Linked DNA regions of Caenorhabditis elegans. The protein of the gene in region 1 interacts with the protein of each later gene in a pairwise test. Each region holds a gene or a part of one and is shown in the gene's direction. Other genes may lie near its edges. The genes, in order: C02B10.6 and mtl-1.

The links.
Region 2: the proteins of C02B10.6 (region 1) and mtl-1 interact in a two-hybrid assay, tested with the Caenorhabditis elegans proteins (one large-scale study listed by BioGRID).

What each region holds. Positions count from the first base shown.
Region 1 is NC_003282.8:5,068,979-5,072,909, forward strand, and holds C02B10.6 (Protein-tyrosine phosphatase), read left to right. Parts: upstream 1-1,914; 5' UTR 1,915-1,952; coding exon 1,953-2,359; intron 2,360-2,412; coding exon 2,413-2,969; intron 2,970-3,018; coding exon 3,019-3,251; 3' UTR 3,252-3,285; downstream 3,286-3,931. Other genes in the region: rmd-6 (Regulator of microtubule dynamics protein 1), read left to right, coding at 1-15, 105-605, 673-777.
Region 2 is NC_003283.11:6,690,662-6,693,616, reverse strand, and holds mtl-1 (Metallothionein-1), read left to right. Parts: upstream 1-1,753; 5' UTR 1,754-1,784; coding exon 1,785-1,800; intron 1,801-1,920; coding exon 1,921-2,132; 3' UTR 2,133-2,246; downstream 2,247-2,955. Other genes in the region: W02F12.8 (Metallothionein), read left to right, coding at 1,146-1,264.

The sequences.
Region 1 (3,931 bases):
GATTTGCTCAAAGCGGTAAGTTTCAGACATGAAATATATACAATAGAGAATATAGTATCATTTTTGAAGAATGTGCTATTGAGACTTGAATTTTCTATTTTCAGCGTCTCGACAAAGGTGATCGTTCGGTGGAAGTCTTGTGGAGACTTGCTCAAGTAATTCATGAGAAGTCTGCATGTGTTCCAAAAGCTCAACGTAAGGCAAGTGTCACCGAAGGACTCAAGTTTGCTGAAGAAGCTGTCCAGAAGGATCCAAACCATTTCAAGGCGCTGAAGTGGAATGCTGTGTTGACTGGACAAGCAACCGAATATATGGCAACGAAAGAAAAGTTGGAATGCAGTAAGAAGTTCAAGGAATTGCTCGACAAAGCTCTTGCTAAGGAGCCAAAGGATACGGCTCTCCTCCATTTGCGTGGCCGTTACAAGTACTCGGTGGCATCTCTGACATGGCTTGAGAAGAAGCTTGCTGCCACGTTCTATCAGCAACCACCATCACATTCCTATGAAGAGGCCAACGAGGATTTCCTTGCTGCTTATAAGGTCAATCCAAAATGGATGGAGAACACATTTTATGTGTCCAAATGCTACGTAGCAATTAAAGACAAGGTACGGAAGATAGATACGTGTAACATTATCCCCATGCAAGCTTCTCAAAAATCTTTGATAATTCCAGAACAACGCTCGCAAGTACCTTACCGAAGTGTGTGACATCGAACCGTATTCCGACGCTGAACAAGAGTTTGCCGATGATGCGAAGCAGATGTTGTCTAAGCTTTAAGTTTATTCAGTTTCCACACGAGAAATCTAGCCAGAACATTTAAATAGCATCCACAAATGCGTTCTCGTATTGTAGAAATGTAAAGAATAAAAAGTTTGAAAAATGTATCTGTTTACTGGATTTACAATCAAAGAAACCGAATTATTCCGGAGAGCCCATGGATAACCTTTTCCACTTTTGAATTTATAATATTTAGTTTAATTTTTAATATTCTCTCCGTAGCAAATGTCCAAAATATTCGGGAATAGCCAACATCGTGGAAAATGTTGAACTTGCTGAACAGAAACCTATAATAGCTGAAAACTATTTTATTCCATATTCATCAATACATTGCTCTGACATTCTTGTACTTCAGAAATAAAAGACGAAGTAATAGAATGTACAATAGATATACGAAGCAATTTTTCGGGGTATCTAATGTCTGTCTGACCCAAATACTTAATATAGGTATATGAAACAACTCCTAATGTTTTATATGCCTGAAGTTCTGTTTTTCTGATTGAAATGGAAGCGTCTGGCACCTAGAAAAATGTTGTAATTAAATTATGAAAGCCCTTAAAATTTGGAACAAGTCCCCGACGAAACATTTTCAAAAAAGTTCATTATAAGTCAGATATTAATTTTTAAAGTTATGCAAAAAATAAATCTCTCTAGGCTTGTCTCCTATAATAAATTTGGAACTAGCATCTCCCGTTCCGCATGTTGCAAATTTAAAACCACCGTCCGAAAACTGGGCGCATACTTTTGTCTCTAACATTGCTGTACCTGCATTTTTTATTTCTTTTTTTTTTCAAAATATGTAAAAATATTTTGTCTCTCTTATTATCTAAATAGTTGTTTTGTTTGTTTTTGTCTTTTAGGAGAAATTTTAAGTAAAACACCGACATCTCAATGACCAATTTTAAAGACAAAAATAAAGAGAAATCGCTTAGATATAATTTTATGTTAATTATGTGTAATATTAATTATGTTTGAATTTTTCCTATTTTTTTTTTCAAATATAAAATAAGAGTTTCATTTCTCAAAAGTTCATAACCTCACGTGCCCCCCCCCCCCCCCCCTCATGCCACGTCATCGATCAGATAAGAAGCTTCGTATAAATAATGTGAAATTGTTCACAAATCATCAGTTCTCAATCAAGCAGCAATTGTTTAGCAAGCTAATCAACTGAAGCGATGAACGTTGCAAACAATAATTGCGGACAAATGCTGAGCGATTCTTCGGAATCATCGGAGCCACCAAGAGCCCAAGCTGGGGCAGTTTTCGGGAAGAAGGATAAGGGGAAGAAGGCCGATACGAAGAAGAAGAATACGGCGACGGAGGGCTCGAAGCGTGTGAAGAAGGAGAAAAAGAAGGATGACGGTGAAGCGGCCAAAGGTGATCCGACAAACAAAACCAACATGACACCTGCTCCACCACAGACCCATCCGATTGTCGAGCAGTGGGTGCTCAGAGCACTGGATGTTGGAGTTGACAAGCTTCGTGAGGAATTCCGTGGATTGGCAAAATACACGAGACCCGACATGACTCAGGTCATGTTCAATGCCAATCAGTCTCCGGACATTGCCATCACGAAGAATCGGTAAGTTGTTTTTTTTCACACTTTACAAGTCAATCATGAACACACTTTTTCAGTTACCAAGATGTCCCGTGCCAAGACCAAAGTGCGGTAAAGCTGGATCAACCATCTCCGTGCAACTACATCCATGCAAACTACGTCGGATGCCCCATGATCCCAGAAAAGCGTTTCATCTGCGCCCAGGGACCACTTGACCAAACGATCGATGAATTCTGGTGGATGGTCATTCAAAACAAGGTCGAGCAGATTGTCATGCTTTGCAAGACCGTCGAGATGGGAAAGCTCAAATGCGCTCAGTACTGGCCAGCTGCTCAAGGCGAAAAGCTTACTCTGAAGAGTGGTTGTGTCGTGGAGAACGTGTCGGGCTCGAAGCCAATGGAGAGGGACCCGGAGATTCAGATCACTATGCTCAACCTTACTTATAGTGGTGGTCAGACGATGTCCGTTCGTCATCTTCAATGGACTGAGTGGCCGGATCGTGGAGTCCCACCTTGTAAGCTAACAAGCTTGGAGCTGCTTTCCGCAATCCGCGGATCCAAGGTTCCAATCGTCGTGCACTGTTCTGCCGGGATTGGGCGTACCGGGACCATCGTCGCCATCGAATACATTCTTGGTGAGTTTTGAACAATGTTAGTTTTTAATAAAAATTTCTATAATTTCAGAGAAGATCGCCGAGAACAAGCCGTGCCCTCCGATGCCTGAGCTTGTGAAGGCACTCCGTGATCAAAGGGCCTTCTCAATCCAGAACGATGTCCAGTACCTCTTCATTCACCGTGTCATGCTCAACTACTTCCTCGAGAAGTACAAGGAAAAGTATGCGGCTTTGCTGACAGCGGAAAATGTGGCCAAGTACGACAAGTTTATCAAGGATTACAATGCAGCGGTTGGACAATAATTGAACTTAGATTTGAAATAAATGTTTTGTATTGATAAAATGTGTTAGTTTTTGAGATTATCCAAAGTATCAAGTAGCCATCAGATCTGGACAAGAAATAGATACGTTATTTGGTAATATTTTCTGCGGTTTTTGAGAGTCGAGAAAGTATTAAACCGGACATTTGGCATTAGGAATATTTAGATAAGGAGTGCCGCACAACCATTGCTTCTCCAACAACCTTAATTTTACTTTTTATGGGAAAAATTGAAAATTTTCCATAAACAGTCTAGTTGCGTTTTAAAGTCCAAAAAACATATTTTTCCTCCTTTTTCTTCCTAATTTTCAACTGAAAATGTGTTTTCTCTCGGTTTTCATTCAAATCAAATAAATAAGCACTTAAACTGATCACATGGACAATGCCTACAAACTCAAGGCGCCTGATTTTTGAATTTGTTGCTCTATGAAGTTTTTCTTTTTTTCTTCCGAAATCCACGCCGCCGTCCATGATCTCAATTACAACTACATGCTCTGTTAGGTCAAAATAGTCGCCGTGTGAATAGTTTTATTCTAAATTTCATTTACCGATAACATTTTCCTGAAACAGTAAAATTTGAATTTAAAAAAATAACGCAAGATAATTAAAAACTGTTGGGTTTTCATTCAATTTTTTTTCTTTTTTTTCTGTTTAGTTGCTATTT
Region 2 (2,955 bases), on another chromosome or scaffold:
AAGCACTAATCAGTTATTGTAGAAAAATTCTAAACCTGTTGTTTTTGAAAACATTCATGTCAACTTTGTAATTTGGCATAATATTAAGAAACTCGGCAAGTAGGGCTCTATATACTCACATATCTTTTCGGGCAGAGGGAATGTGAAAAATTGATCAATCGCAAACTTGTAAGCTTAAGATAAGGAACACTTTTCCCGTGCAAACTATTTGAAAAAAAAATCTGAATGGATCCAGATTCGAACCAGCAATGACTCTACTGAAGAGCGCGCGCTTTACCACTTCTCCAAACAGGCGAGTGGCGGCCGCGGTTCCAAGGTATATGTGAAACCAACCGAGCTGTACGAAGTAGGAAGCTTCCATTACTTTTTCAGATATTTAGTTCTGAAAACTTTGTTAACTCTCCTTATCAACAACTAAATGGCCCTTTTTGTAGTTATTTCTACTGGAAAAAAATGTGCCTGTAAATAATATCCTGTTTATAAACGTTGTTGTCCAGTGAAAACATTCCCTTGACCTGAAATTTATCGATAAAAGATAAATTTATCTTGAAAACTACTTTTTCGAGTGTATTTTTAAACATTCTACAAATTCCACTTAATAGCAGGTCGGGAACTTCGGCGATTCCTCGAATAAGCTATTTTCAAAAAAAAAATTAGGCCCAAAATTTGTTTCTGAAAAACGACCCCAATCTTGTATTTTCCAGTAATAAATACAATCTGAATTTTTTTCGAAATTATTTTTCGCATCGAAATTGGAAAACGTAGTAAAAAATACGGCCGTAGTAAAAGAGTAAACCGTAGTAAAAGAGCAACGTAGTAAAAGATGAGGTAGTAAAAGAGCATTTGCCTAATTTCTTTTATTTTTCACATTATATGTCCAGTTAAAAAAAAAGAACTCTGAGAAATAAATTTTGAAAATCAGGTAAAAAAAGTTAGATGTTTCAGACGTCACCTTGTTGTTAATATGGTCTCTCATATGATTGGTGACATCAGAATTTTTAACTTGGAATTGAACATTTTAATTCTTGATTTATTATTTTCAAGATTTAATTTTAAGTTTTAAAAATAGATTTTTTTTTCAAAAAAAAAACAAGGTTGTAAAAATTGTTAAAACTGGAAACATCTTTTAGCTATTTTTATTTTAGCCTGCAAGAATTGCTCCTGTGGAGAAACGTGTAAGTGTACCGTCGAAAAATGTTGCTGCGAGGAAGAGAAAAAATCGTGCTGTGAAGGAAAAACCGAGAAGACTGAGCAAAAGAAATAACCAATGAGCAAGTGAACTTTTCCCACGTCTACTACTAAATTATTGTCGATCTATAATTCTTTCGCTTATCAATCTTGTCAATTGAAATAAAACAATATTTTTCTAATTCTTTTTGGAACGAACACACGTGTTTAAATGAATGTTGTGCTAAAAACGTCACATCAATGGTACGTGAATGTTGCAAACACCTTGTCAATAACTGATAAAATCAGAAACTAGAGCTGTGACTGAATCGTATACTAGAACGGAGTCTCTCTAAAAACGTTCTAAAAACAAACAAAAAATTGTGCAAAGGATTAGAGTGCTCAAGATCAATGAGCAAACTCACAATCAACTATCTGTTATTGTTTTGGGTCTCTTCTATATCTCTATTCTTTTAGTATCATAAGTTTGTACATTGTGACAGGGCCACCCTCTTTTATCACATATTTGAAGTGGTAAACAGCCAGCAAAAACCAAATAAAAAGGCAGTGAGAAAAAGAAGAAGGCAGCTCAATTTGACTGCTGAAATTAAGAAATCATGGCTTGCAAGTGTGGTGAGTTAATCTATACTTTATAGATTTCAAAAACAATTGTGACACGTTTAAAATGGTTTTGAGAATAGCAGGCAAATCAACAAGCTTTCTAAATTTTTCTTAAAGTCAAAACTTTTCCAGACTGCAAAAACAAGCAATGCAAGTGCGGAGACAAATGTGAATGCAGTGGAGACAAGTGTTGTGAGAAGTACTGCTGTGAGGAGGCCAGTGAGAAAAAATGCTGTCCAGCTGGATGTAAGGGAGACTGCAAGTGTGCAAACTGTCATTGTGCAGAGCAGAAGCAGTGCGGAGACAAGACCCATCAACACCAGGGAACTGCTGCGGCTCATTAAAATGTTTCAGAGTTGAATCTGAAAATACCACAATTCCTACTAAACTGTGAACATCCTACTAAATTGTAATTACCTCCGAGATTTATGTAAACTAATAAATGTGTATATTACTTGTATCTGCCAAATCAAAAAATTATAATTTAATTGAATCAGGATAAATGCATGTGATGAAAGTTTATGCTTTCAGACAACTTTCTTATAAATAAATACATTTCGTTAAAGATTACGAGCAACTTCTTTAAAGGCAAAATTTTCAAAGTTAAAAAAACTGCCTCAGGTTGTGCCTACGTTTAACCGAAGTTTTATCCAACTCTTGCCAAACTCTTACTCAAGATTAAACTGACATAATAAAGGTTTTGGTCAGATTTGTGATGAGATTTGGCGAAATCCTTAAAGTATTACTAAACTTTTGCCAAATTTAAATACAAGATGATTATTGGGCAAGATCTGACAGTCCTATAAGTATTAGGTATAACTTTCAGTGAATCAAGTTCTAATTATGCAAGATTATTCATTGTATTATTATATTATAAATTCATATATTAGAATTATCAACAATAGACAGTTTTTTTATAAGATAAAAAGAACCTAGCGAAAAATTCGAAAAAGAGCACGATAAGTTTCGAAAAAAACACAGCACAAATCTTTTTTTTTGATAAATGGTTGAAAAGTCTGAGTTCCGTTTTTTCAAAGAAAATTAAAATGTTTAAAAAAATGTTCGTTTTTAAGAGCTTTTAAAAGTTGTTTTACAGTTTTCCGGTCCCCAATTATTCCGTCAATTCATAGTTGGACAATCGCTTGAAACGACGAACATCGAAATATA